Arabidopsis thaliana: one gene and its partners. The protein of the gene in region 1 interacts with the protein of each later gene in a pairwise test. Each region holds a gene or a part of one and is shown in the gene's direction. Other genes may lie near its edges.

Evidence for each region. Proteins that work in one complex are often made in the same cells at the same time.
Region 2: the proteins of TFIIIA (region 1) and AT1G72570 interact in a two-hybrid assay, tested with the Arabidopsis thaliana proteins (one large-scale study listed by BioGRID).
Region 3: the proteins of TFIIIA (region 1) and AT5G49420 interact in a two-hybrid assay, tested with the Arabidopsis thaliana proteins (one large-scale study listed by BioGRID).

What each region holds. Positions count from the first base shown.
Region 1 is NC_003070.9:27,113,040-27,118,040, forward strand, and holds TFIIIA (transcription factor IIIA), read left to right. Parts: upstream 1-1,981; 5' UTR 1,982-1,997; coding exon 1,998-2,174; intron 2,175-2,311; coding exon 2,312-2,452; intron 2,453-2,602; exon of another isoform or gene 2,603-2,768; coding exon of another isoform or gene 2,769-2,777; intron 2,778-2,875; coding exon 2,876-3,320; intron 3,321-3,482; coding exon 3,483-3,718; intron 3,719-3,818; coding exon 3,819-3,962; coding exon of another isoform or gene 3,963-4,048; coding exon 4,049-4,189; 3' UTR 4,190-4,470; downstream 4,471-5,001. Other genes in the region: dNK (P-loop containing nucleoside triphosphate hydrolases superfamily protein), read right to left, coding at 21-479, 574-1,209. UniProt on the Arabidopsis thaliana protein: Essential protein. Isoform 1 is a transcription activator the binds both 5S rDNA and 5S rRNA and stimulates the transcription of 5S rRNA gene. Isoform 1 regulates 5S rRNA levels during development.
Region 2 is NC_003070.9:27,329,550-27,334,247, forward strand, and holds AT1G72570 (Integrase-type DNA-binding superfamily protein), read left to right. Parts: upstream 1-1,831; coding exon 1,832-1,919; intron 1,920-2,014; coding exon 2,015-2,612; intron 2,613-2,791; coding exon 2,792-2,874; intron 2,875-3,000; coding exon 3,001-3,009; intron 3,010-3,165; coding exon 3,166-3,254; intron 3,255-3,484; coding exon 3,485-3,558; intron 3,559-3,661; coding exon 3,662-3,712; intron 3,713-3,813; coding exon 3,814-3,890; intron 3,891-3,970; coding exon 3,971-4,149; downstream 4,150-4,698.
Region 3 is NC_003076.8:20,034,123-20,038,166, reverse strand, and holds AT5G49420 (MADS-box transcription factor family protein), read left to right. Parts: upstream 1-1,961; 5' UTR 1,962-1,996; coding exon 1,997-3,001; 3' UTR 3,002-3,054; intron 3,055-3,251; 3' UTR 3,252-3,495; downstream 3,496-4,044. Other genes in the region: AT5G49430 (WD40/YVTN repeat and Bromo-WDR9-I-like domain-containing protein), read left to right, coding at 1-289, 497-555, 634-829.

The sequences.
Region 1 (5,001 bases):
AACGTTGGCTTTAAAATTACCATTCGGTCACTGAAGACACTCCTTTCCATCAACCTGAGAGGTTTAACCCCAGAAGCAGACTCTTTCTCCTGCATCAGCCGAGTGACAAACACATAGTTCTGGAAAGTATAAGCATACCTCTGAGGCTCAGAGTAGAAAGCATCCAATATATTGAAATGGTCAGGTCCAACATCTTGCCACTTATCAACTGGCTCAGGAACAATCTCAACAAGGTCTTGTAACTCAACAGTCTCATTCGCTATCCTCTGAAGAAAAGTTGATTTACCAACACTGATGTTCCCTTCAACACAAAACGTCAAACGTTTCTTCACATTTAGATTAGGTTCAGGGCCAGAATCCTTAAGCTCATCATCCACACTCTCTTTAATAAACGTTGTTATACTCTCCGCATGGTTTCTATGTATAATCCCAACAGAGCTCCTAAGATAATCAACCATCTTCTGACTAGCCTTCCAAAACTGAGATTACAAATCAACCAACCAAAAATAAAGATTGAAACTTTCAATACTTGTCTCAAAACCCGCAAGTTAAAAATTGAAGATTCAAAAGTACCTTATCCTTATAAAGCTTCTTGAGCTCTGCAACATCACCAATCCCATTATCAACAAGCTTTCTCTGATTCCTTAAACCAACTCCAGGAATCTTCAGCAAATCTGGATTACCAACAAACTCACCACTTCCACTAGAGCTCCGGTTTCTACGGTTCATCCTCACAGGCTTCTCATCTTTCTCCTCGTCTTCATCTTCTCCGTCAGACTCTTCCTCGCTTTCAACCACTGCTCCAGCAGTAGCATTAACCGGGGTTAAACCACCAGTAGAGTCTGAACAAAACAACGCACGCCAAGACCCAGTTCGACCAACCCAAGCCCGGTTCGTACCGTCAATTGAACACCGGCAAGTCCGGTAACCAGCTGTTGAGAACCGAACAGACGCCGGTGCCGGTTTATGAACAGTCCTCTGTAGATAAGCAGAGAAACCAACACCGCCTGAAGAAACAGAAGCCGTTGTGGTCGGCATAGCGGAAGTAGAGAAGAAACAAGTGGAGAGAGGTTTAGTAGTAGAACAAGGAGGGAGATTTTTAACGGGGGTCTTAAACCCTAGAGAGATAAAACCGGCGGCGAGAGAGTTCACCGGCGTAGAGAGAACAGGGGTTGAAGAAGTGGTACTTTTGCACAGAATCTTCTGCATCGTTTCCGTTTACACGAGCATTTCACATCACTCAGAGAAATAGAAACCCTAGTTTCAGAGAGAGAAGGGGATAACAAAAAAGAGGGCTTTTGTGTGGGTTTTGGTTTGGCGCAAAGACAGAGGAAGAAGAAGAGAGAAAGTTGCGTTTTAGGGTTTTTAATTTTATTGATTAAAATCATTAATTTCAATTTTGTGGTGTGGTTAATTATTTAATTAATTAGAAGATATGATTATGGGATTAATACGTTTTTTAATAAATCGTTATGGGGAAAAAATGTTAAAAAATGGTGATGTGTCCTGTCCTTGAGGTGTTATTTGTCATCTTTACGAAGTTGTGTAGCACACATGACACGTGCGGATAACAAATAAGTACATAATCATTTTTTTATTGTTTAAAAAAACGCTTGTTTTTGAATTGGACTGGTTTTTTATTTGGGCCTACCCTTTGTTAAAACGATGACCTAATTGAGCTTATCGACTGTAAATTTTTCAAAAATGTTACAGATGCAGGGCCCATTAGATTTAATGGACCGATTGTGACGTTTCAAATTTGTTCCCTTTTTTCCTGGCACAAGTCTAACTTTTCGTTTTGCAAAGATCCCTTGTCTATTTTCTACTCGATTTTGCAAATTTGTTGTAATTCTAATTTAAATTTGTTATATGGGCTTGAAAGGCCCATTATACAATTAGAAGCCCAAGTGTTCTAGGTTAGATTTCTCACTCCCGGAAAAAAGAAGCTGATATATAAATGGCCATTGTTACTTCAGCTTCTACTGTGCGGCGTCTTGATGGAGGAGATAAACCCTAGTTCTTCTGTAGACAATAAGAGAGACATGGCGGAAGAAGCTAAAGTTGATGTGAAGACTTCGGCGAAGAAGGATATACGCAATTATCTATGCCAGTATTGCGGAATCAGCAGATCTAAAAACTATCTCATCACTAAACACATCCAATCTCATCATCAGGTTTGAGATCTTCCTCCAATTCGATTCCAATTTCTCATCCGTGGCATCTTGATTTGTTTTCAATGAAATTGAGAGTTGAGTCTGTAGAATCGGCGATGGTTTGTTGAATTGAGAGTTTCTATGATTCGTTTGTTTAGATGGAACTTGAAGAGGAAAGAGATGATGAAGCTTGTGAGGTTGATGAGGAGTCTTCAAGTAATCATACTTGTCAAGAATGTGGTGCTGAGTTTAAGAAACCTGCTCACTTGAAGCAGCATATGCAGAGTCATTCGCTCGAGGTAGATTTATGCATCCTCTTGTCATGAGAAGTCGAATTGTTCCCATTCTGTGTGTTGCAGCTACAGATGGAGATACATAGAGATACTCGTGGATTTTGCTTAGTGTTGAGTTTTGTTCTGGTTGTGAACTAAAAGTTTATACATTTGCAGGAAATAAATAGCCTTTTGTTTAAATCAAAAGGTCTTACCTATGTTATTGCGTGAGGCATTGGATCCCAAAGAGAGAACTCCAAAATGCGAGGCTACATGTTATGGACTAGTATCAGGTTGGGAGACCTCCTGAGAAGCTCCAGCAAGTAAGCCTCGATCACGCAAAATGTTTGAGGTCTGATGTTCAATAGCTTGTTTTGTTTCACTTTGCTTTGGACTTTCTTTTCGCCAATGAGCTATGTTTCTGATGGTTTTCACTCTTTTGGTGTGTAGAGATCTTTTACTTGCTATGTGGATGATTGTGCTGCTAGCTATAGGAGGAAGGATCATCTCAATAGGCATCTTCTTACACATAAAGGGAAGCTCTTTAAGTGTCCGAAGGAGAACTGCAAGAGTGAATTCTCAGTACAGGGAAATGTTGGTAGGCATGTTAAGAAATATCATAGTAATGACAACCGTGATAAGGACAATACTGGTTTGGGCGATGGTGATAAGGACAATACTTGTAAGGGGGATGATGATAAGGAAAAATCTGGTAGTGGCGGTTGTGAGAAGGAAAATGAAGGGAATGGCGGAAGTGGTAAGGACAATAATGGTAATGGCGATTCTCAGCCTGCGGAGTGTTCAACTGGTCAGAAGCAGGTTGTCTGCAAAGAAATTGGTTGTGGAAAAGCCTTTAAGTATCCTTCACAGCTTCAAAAGCATCAGGATTCTCATGGTAAGTGCACCTTCCTACCCTTACTTTCCCTCTAGTTTAGTATCCTGGGCATATGAAGATTTCTACGTTTCCTCTCTATGTGCTTTGTTATAAATTAAAGACAGTTGTTTGTTAAAGCTTGATAGATTTTCAATCTCTGAAGGTTTAGATTTACATTTGCAGTGAAATTAGACTCTGTGGAGGCATTTTGTTCCGAGCCTGGGTGTATGAAGTACTTTACCAACGAAGAATGCCTCAAGTCACACATAAGATCCTGTCATCAGCACATCAACTGTGAGATATGTGGTTCTAAGCATTTGAAAAAGAACATCAAGAGACATCTACGGACTCATGATGAAGATTCCTCACCAGGAGAAATCAAGTGTGAAGTTGAGGGTTGCTCTTCGACTTTCTCCAAGGTAAAGAAACATCCTGAGCTACGTCAAACTTATATAGTCCAAAACAAGTTTCGTTTCCAGATTATTCAACATCACTAATTACATTACGATTATTTCTCAGGCTTCTAATCTTCAGAAACACATGAAAGCAGTGCACGATGATATACGTCCCTTTGTCTGTGGCTTTCCCGGTTGTGGCATGAGATTTGCTTACAAACATGTCAGAAACAAGCACGAGAATTCCGGGTATCACGTATATACCTGCGTAAGTTCATCCAACCTACATACTATCGTGTTTTTCTTACAAACTCAAAAGACTAGAATCTCATGTAAAACTGAATGTGGTTTCAGGGTGATTTTGTCGAAACTGATGAAGATTTCACTTCAAGACCGAGAGGTGGACTAAAGAGGAAACAAGTTACTGCGGAAATGCTGGTACGAAAGAGAGTCATGCCTCCTCGGTTTGATGCAGAAGAACACGAAACTTGCTAGTAGTGTCCAAGCCTTAATTATATTTTCTGTCTTAAGATAAGTGAAGTAGTTTTGTGTAAAGTTCTTTTTGTTTGTGTGTTGGTAGGAAGAAATATAGAACTACAATAGTAGGTAGTAATATAAGTAATGTTGTGCTTAGAATCTATGTTCGTTTAACCTTTTATCTCCCACGGCTTTAATGTATTGAACCCAACGTTTGAGATATAAGTAATGTTGTGCTTATAATCTATGTTCGTTTAACCTTTTTATCTCCCACGGCTTTGATGTCTTGAACCAATGTTTTTAAAACTGACCCAAACAGTGAACCGGACTACCTTTTGGGTAAATATTAATAGAGATTTTACAATTTTTATAAATAGAAAACAAAATAATCATATTATGTTTAATAGAAAACAAAATAATCATATCATGTTTAATAAAAAAATATAAAATCATATTATGTTTGATAAAATATAAAATCATTTACACCAAAAAAACATATATATATATATATAAAATCAAACAATAATAAGAAAGTGATTAAAAATTTTAAATTCAACTAAATGTCTAACATCGTAACAAATATAATAGAAGATCACTAATGATAGAAACAAATTAATGAAATATCGTGAATTCAAACAACTAATCTCATTTGCATATATCACCATTCGATTCATTTTTAAGGCCGCATTGTGAAATCTTCACCAAAATCTAAAACATCAAATGAGTTTAAGAACTAAAAAAACTTATAAAAATAATTGAAGAAAGTTTAAAATCCCACATTTTATTCCAAAATGAAGAGAATTTTTTAAAACCCACATCCGGCCGGTTCA
Region 2 (4,698 bases), 220 kb from region 1:
AATGCCTTGAATTAGTATCGTCAGCTAGCTTCTCTCCTTCACTGTTCTCTTCCCTTATCAGATTTTGATGCGAAGAAGAAAAAGACGAAACTTTTAGTGGGTTTCGCTTGAGAGCTTACCAGAAAGTAAGGATCGTGGCGATTTTAGCGATCGGATTTATGAGAGTGGGAGATATAGTAGAAAAGGGATTATGGAAACCCTAGTTTGGGTTTCTCTTTGAATTCAAAGAATACTTTTTTTTGGTGAGTTTCTAGAAAATTTCCCTTACGGATTTATAAATATGAGGAAAATTGTGAGACTGGAGAGAAGACGGAGCTGTAGGGTTTTTTTTTTTTTATACACAGATTTTTATTAGCTTGCAGAATATTTTCCCAGAGAACTATAAATATTATTGCCAGCGAATTGAAAATTAACCGTCATCTGAATTCAGTAAATCAGCCCATGGGCTTGAATCTCTCTCACCTTAGGCCTTAGGTGTTGCATACTGATAGATTAAGATAGACATGTATAAATGTTTTGTGAGTTAGCAAATATAATGGTGTTTTTTCACTTTCTTAATCTAATGTTTTATAAAACAAATTGTCACATTAATACATATAACTAAACTACTTACTGTGAAATTATTCATGGAGACAACTTCTGTAGCTAAGACCTCTCGATTTTTATTTTGTATACTACAAACTAGGTAATTGTAAGAAAAGGTTTGTTCTGTAATGGCATTGTCGATTACCTCGTAGAAGAGGTTGGAATATTTCCGATGCCCGTAGCAAGATATAAAATCACAAATTCATTTTTCAGTTGTTAAAGAAAACAATTGTGGCTTTTTGTGTAGAACGACATTTCGTTATGTGGGTGGCGAGTATGGACAAACTACCCACTAAGTCTTGGTTAACAGCTTGGAACACAATTTCATTTTCTATCTATAAGCAACATATGCAATATAATCAACCAAATAAGAGAGATCACTTATTCTTTTGTTCTATCATATTTTGTGTGTCTGTTTTCAAAGGTTATACCGTCACATTATCCGCTTCTCACACTTGAGGCAAATTTTATGAGTTAGATAGCATATTGCCAAACACTCCAGCTATATATATCTTTTATCTTTTAGATTGATCTTTGTCTAATCTGCGAAAACAGCAAGATCATTTCAGGCTTCTCCATCACAGTTAGAATCATTTTCAAACGGATCGATTGAATGAGCAATCAAAAACACATTTTTATCGTCTAAGGAGAAATTTCCTTGCAATACTACTAATTTTAGTACAAATTTTGTTTACTTTTAAATTATGTAATGTTCTTTAAGTTTATTAAAAAATATCCCAAATTATATCGAAAGAAAGACATTAATAAAAGAAATGTATTATTGTCTAATTAACATATTTCGAAAGAAACAAAATACTGACTTTTTTAAGCGCTACTGTGTGCTTTTTTTACGGAAAAGTTAATCAAATACCAAAGAACGAAAATTTTCATTGTAGTGTGTCATGTGTATCTCCCATATATATATACGTATACATCGAAAAGATCCGAGGGAGAGTGGGCACAAAACTCTAGAAGTCAGATGCAAGTGTGTGTGAAAGAGAATGTGAAAGAGTGAGGGAGAGAGAAACTTCCTCTTCCTTTCTTTCATGCTTACGACAAAACTTCACCGCCACCTGTTTTGTCTCAAATCTTTTTTCCACCTTTTTAATTATATAATTTATTAAATGTTTTAGACTTATGAAAAATATTAATGTATATTCGCACGTATGAGACTACAAATCATATAAAACGAAACCCTATACATATAAACTAAGAGCGAGAAAGACAGCTAGAGAGAGAGAGAGAGATGAAGAAATGGTTGGGATTTTCATTGACACCTCCTTTGAGAATCTGCAATAGTGAAGAAGAAGAACTTAGGCATGACGGTTCCGATGGTACTCTCTTCTTCACACATCATCCCCCTGGTATATATATGTTGTTGGTGTGGCCACTATTAATATTCTTAATTTGATTTCTATTTTATGTGTAGTTTGGAGATATGATATTAACTTTGATCATCATCATCATGATGAAGACGTTCCAAAGGTGGAAGATCTCCTCTCAAACTCTCATCAAACCGAGTATCCTATAAACCATAACCAAACCAATGTCAACTGCACCACTGTGGTTAACAGGTTAAACCCACCCGGTTACCTTCTCCACGACCAAACCGTAGTTACACCACATTACCCGAACCTAGATCCGAACCTTAGCAATGATTATGGAGGTTTTGAGAGGGTCGGTTCGGTCTCGGTTTTCAAATCTTGGTTAGAGCAAGGCACTCCAGCATTCCCACTCTCGAGTCATTACGTTACTGAAGAGGCTGGTACGAGCAATAATATTAGTCATTTTAGTAACGAAGAGACTGGTTATAACACCAATGGCTCAATGCTATCATTGGCTTTGAGCCATGGGGCTTGTTCTGATTTGATCAACGAATCGAATGTATCCGCACGGGTCGAAGAACCGGTTAAGGTAGATGAGAAGCGGAAGAGATTGGTTGTTAAACCTCAGGTAAAGGAATCCGTTCCTCGGAAGTCGGTTGATAGTTATGGACAAAGAACTTCTCAGTATCGTGGAGTTACAAGGTACGTACGTTATTAAATAATGACGTCTCAAACATTTGTTTTGGTTTAAATGATGTCTCAAACTTACACGTAAGAAAAATGTGAATGCCACAATTATGTTACTTATGTATATTTGTCATTTTATTTTGTAGATTATGTATAATTGTGTCGACACATATTTATGTTGTGCGTGTATACAGGCATAGATGGACAGGGAGATATGAAGCTCACTTATGGGATAATAGCTGTAAGAAGGAGGGACAGACAAGGAGAGGAAGACAAGGTCAGAAAAAACAAATACAAAATAATTTTCCGATTCAATATGCTATCATGCATCAATAATCTTACTAACAATTATTTAATTTTGGCTTCGTATGTACTTTCGAATTCGCTTCTTGATCAATCACAGTGTATCTTGGTAAGCCAGAACTTTATTTTACAACCTATTATGCATGAGATCCCTCGTTCATTTCTTGTTGCCCTATTTTTGGCCTTCGAAGTAAAAATTAACCTTGTTACCTTCTGATAATTATAGAAAAACATTTAATAGTAGAATTAATACTTACTAAAATAGGAGGGTATGATGAGGAGGAGAAAGCAGCGAGGGCATATGATTTAGCGGCTCTGAAGTATTGGGGTCCTACCACTCACTTAAATTTCCCTGTGAGTTTGATCTTTCTGGTCCCGTACCTAGCTCCACTTCTAACTCCTTTATTACATGCAAGTGTGTTTTATATATGTACACTTATATACATGCAACATAACAGTTTCCATACTTATTTCGATATTTTGGATCTTGAATGTAATCATTTTCCGATTTTATTGACTTGATTTTGATGGAACTACATAGATTTGGCTTGTGATATCAGTTCCTTTGACGCTCTTTTATTCAGTTGAGTAATTACGAAAAGGAGATCGAGGAACTCAATAACATGAATCGGCAAGAATTTGTTGCCATGTTGAGGAGGTAATTACTCAACAGTGGGTTTGTAATGATATTTATGGACCTTATATAGTCATATGCATTTAACCATTAACAAACGCTTTGTAATTACATATCATAATCATAGGAATAGCAGCGGGTTTTCGAGGGGAGCTTCCGTGTATAGAGGAGTTACAAGGTTTGATTTGGACATATATGTGAAACTTGTATATATTTATATATGTACATGTACATGCATGGAATTAGATCATGATGATCATGCATGTATAACTCATGTAGGCATCATCAACATGGAAGGTGGCAAGCCAGAATTGGAAGAGTTGCTGGAAACAAGGACTTGTACCTTGGAACATTTAGTATGAACCACTTCTATACATATGGAATTATATCATAGCCTTTGAATTATTAAATATCACATTTTGTAACTATGATGAAGGCACGCAAGAAGAAGCAGCGGAGGCGTACGATATCGCGGCAATTAAATTCAGAGGCCTAAACGCTGTAACCAATTTCGATATAAATAGATATGACGTGAAGAGGATATGTTCAAGCTCAACGATTGTTGATAGCGACCAGGCCAAACATTCTCCCACCAGCTCTGGCGCCGGCCACTAACCGACACCGTAAACTCCTCGCCGGAGAGACTATTCCCACGTACGGTTGGTTTGAGGAAATAAGTTCGTCCAGTCTGTTTAATCATTTATGGTTTAATAAACATATATTCCTAAGTAATTGAGGCCGGTCTACATATATACAACTTTTTTAGCAAATTAAGTTATCAGAATCCACTATATATTATTCTCTATGATATACTTTGATTAAATTTCGTTTTTATTTTTAATTGAAAAAAGTTAATGCATTCATTATTTACAGGATCCATAACATAAGTGTTAATTAATTAGTATATATTAACTGCACCAAGTTGAGGAGAGGCGATTCCTCAATTTGTGTGCCTTCTTCTGTCGTGGTCGTACTTTAAGGAAAAGCGTTACAAATTTAAGTGAAACTTATTTAACTCATAATCAAATCCATCCAAGCCTTTGATAGTTTGATTAATTTTGAACCCGTATCGAGCTAATTCCCTCATGCCATGGTGAAAATAATTGGTGTCAATGGAAATTTGAAGGTTTCTATGGACTTCTTGAGATAAACTAAAGTAATATC
Region 3 (4,044 bases), on another chromosome or scaffold:
TTGCAGGGACAAGTGTAAAGTTTGGTGGAGAGACGAAGGCGAAGAAGATGGTAGTTGGTGGGAAGGACGGATTCTAGCTGTGAAACCCAAATCACCTGATTTTCCTGATAGTCCGTGGGAGAGGTACACAGTTAAGTACAAGAGTGACCCTGCCGAGACACATCTTCACAGTCCCTGGGAGCTTTTTGATGCAGATACCAAGTGGGAGCAGCCTCACATTGATGATGAGCAACGAAACCGTTTGCTCTCGGCCTTAACAAAGTTAGAGACTTCAGACAAGAGAACCCAGGTATGTGATCCTAATGAATATAATATCTCATGGTGTTAAATCTAGCCTATCCTCCCCACCAAATTCAGACTTCACCCAAAGAGCTTAGGCCCATGTTTACATTAGCTTAGTTGGTTTATAGATCACATTCTAAAGCTTAGTGGATTAAGACACAACATTATCCCAAGAACTAACAATATTGATATAATGTGGGCTAATTTGTTTCAGGATTCTTTTGGCCTCCGAAAACTGAACCAGACCGTGGGAAATTCCAGCTACTCCAACAGGTAAATTTCTACAACCCTGGAAGAGTCTTTGGTGGAGCCAAAGCTGACATGGTTTTGTTCTATGGATTCATTCTGCAGGTTCCCAGTTCCTTTGTCTCTTGAAGTAATCAGATCAAGGCTTGAGAACAACTATTACCGAAGTGTGGAAGCATTACGACACGACGTATCAGTTATGTTGTCCAATGCAGAGACTTTCTTTGGTCGAAATAAAAGTGTAGCAGCCAAAATCTCAAATCTCTCTAACTGGTTCGACCGGACGCTACCTTCTTCGTAGCTTATCATCGCGCCTATGTAGATAAACTGATGTTTTTTTTTCTCATGTTTCCAAATTATTTAGTTAGGTTTCCTGCAATTCTTTAAAAACTCTGGTTCTAATGGCAGAAGAGAATTTTAGGGGATTTTTTTTCCTTCAGTTAGAAAATTTTAGGTTTAGGGTTTAGTTGGAGATAATCTTTTTCTTTTTGAAATTGTATGTAAAGAGAAATTGGAGGAGAGGTCAAAAACGTTTGATGCTTTGGAATCATCTTCTGTTGACTGACCAACCCCAAATTTGAGAATCATTTCTTTTTCTGCTAATGGTACAACAACAGATGAAATTGTTGACATTACATGTGCAAATATCCAGTCTACAATAGATGATCAAGACAAAAACAGTATAATTGCAAATATTTTTGACAAAAAATTGATGAATACTAAGAAACAACGTTTTTATAGAAAGTCTGGACGATTTGGTTGCTCTAGACAGTGGTAGTAAACTGAGTGATAGATATTGCTAGGTGTTTTTGAAACACTGTCAAGGTTAAGCTCCAATGAAATCAGTCAGTGATTATATGTTGATGACCCTCTCTCAAGGTTTGTTCTATAGTCACCAATTACAATTGTTTCTTCTTGGTATTGATATTTTGAGTTTTGTGTGTTTAGGATAGCTGATAGGCTTTTTTGTTAGTTTTATTTGATGGACTATTGTTTTTCAGTAGGTCTTTAACAAAGTTTTCTTCTGCTACCAGGTCACCTTTGTCAACTCCATAGCCACATTTTAAGGAGTGAAGAACCAGAAAGAATGAACACGATAATGTGAAGAACCAGCTATATATTTGTTTGTCTCTCTCATAATAATCTGACAAAATTTTTTTTGTAGAATCTAGCAAAATAATATTTTTTGAAAAATAAAAATATCTCCAAATAAATCTGAATCATAATACAATAACTAAAAATTATCAAAATAAAAATAAATAAGACTGCACTAAAAAAGGATTCTGGTGGATAGTTGGGCTTAGCCCATACAAGATTACGGTCCATGTGGTTTAATCGGTTTAGGTGGATGATATTGATATGGGGTTTCGATATTTCCCTTATATATATGAGACTGAGAGATAGAAGAAGCCTTCACTTTTCAATTATCTTTCTCCACACTCAACAAAATTGAGAAAAATCAATCAGAATGGTGAAAAAAGGTGGCACGAAGAGGAAGATTGCGATTGAGACGATACAGAAGAGAGATTCCCTTAGGGTTACCTGCACCAAACGCCGTGAAGGTCTCTATAGCAAAGCCTCTCAGCTTTGTCTTCTCTCAGACGCACAGATCGCTATCTTAGCGACTCCTCCTTCTTCTGAATCCAACGTATCCTTCTACTCTTTCGGTCACTCCTCTGTTGATGCCGTTGTCTCTGCTTTTCTCTCCGGACAACGTCCTGTTCCGAAGGATAACAAAGAGACGAGGGAGGACGTTGGTATCTGTTTGACTCGCAATAATCTAGGGTTAGGTTTTTGGTGGAACGACGAGAGCCTTGCCAGATCGGAGAATCCTCAAGAGATTAGTGAAGCGATCGACTCTATGCGGACGCTGTTGAGGAATCTCAAGGAATTGCGTGCGGATGAAGCTTTAGCCTGTAATCAAGCTTTCGTTAATGATCGCGAGGACCTGAAGAACAACGACAAGTGCGATTTTGTTTCAGACCACGAAACTCATGATCAAACCCTAATTCTTCAGTCCGCTTCTCCAATTTGTTGCATCCCAGAAAATCTCAACGAGATTACTCAAGAGCCAAATCAAACCCTAAATATTCAGTCGAGTACTTCTGCAATTTGTTGCGTCCCTGATAATTCACCTGAAAATTTCAATGAGATCACTGAAGAACAAGATCAGATTCGCTCGATTTGTGAAACTTTTTGTGTTATGGATAACAACGCTGCTTTACCTGAAATGAACCTGGATTACGATCAAGACATTGGCTTCGACACGCCTTTTGAGAGCGCGCTAAATGATTGGTTTTCGGACAACACTACTCATCAGGAGATTAGTGCAAGTATTTTGAACGCTGTTGTTGATGATCAAGTCTCGGTGGATCTAACTCCGTTTTCTTATTTTCAGAGATGTTTGGATGGAGATAATCTACGATTCTCTGATTGTTTCAAAGACTTTGCAAACACTATTTCAGCACTTTGAAGATAATTTCTCTGCAGTTTTCAAACTAACTTCTAGTTACTTCTTTATTATATGTATGTATTGATTCTGCTAATTTTGGTTACAGATATGTTTTAGCAATGTAATGAATGAAAGGGTCTGGTTTGACCTCGATCAGTTTTCCATACATATATGTATGAGGGAAATTGATCGAAATCAAACTGGTTCTCTGCTTCATCAGTTTGGTTTAATGATAATATTTGTCTTCTGTTTCTATGTTTTGTATTTGTAGTTTCAAGTCCAAACTCATGCGATGAGAACATGACCAAGGCAACCAAACCACTTGAACCACAAAAAGACGAGAAGCAGCTTGTACCGGAGGAAGCATTAATCGTTCTGGCGGGTCCTCTAACAAGATCAAAATCTAAGAAGTTCAACCAAGCTATCAATGGACTACTCAAGGAGCTAAAGAAGAATCAAGAAGACGTGACTCAATCCTCCTTCATAGTGATCACGGCTCAAGAGGCTCGGTAAAGGGTTAAGTGTTGCTTATGCATTCTTTTTCCCTTATCAAGTTTTGTCCCAATGGGTTTTCTTGACAAGGTTTTTAATGAGGCCTAAGGAACACTTTCAAGCCTCCCTTTATCAGCTCAATTCGTGGTCCAAGGCCCACTCACAATGCCGTGGCCCATTTTCTATTTTCTCTTCAAACTTTGCATTTATTGTTTTTGTTATTTCCAAAACTCTTTGCATGAGTGTGTACTTGTGCATGCTCTTGCATGTCTTTCTTCTCTCACCTCTTCCCCTTCTTCCTCCTCTCCTATATAAACTCATTGTAGTTCTCATTTGTAATCATCAAACATTTTAATCAAAAACTTTCTCTTTCACTTGTTTGATCTGAAAAGTGTGTAGTATCTTTTCAACTTGTTTTCTTCTTAGTGTGTAATATCTAAGTTGGATCCAAGCTCGTAGTCTAAGAGTCTTTCATCACTCTTGGAAGTACAATTCGTTCCCCTTTCATTCCGCTGCATCCACTCGATCTCGTCGCCATCCCCATTCATCGTCTTTCCACCGCTTTGATTAAG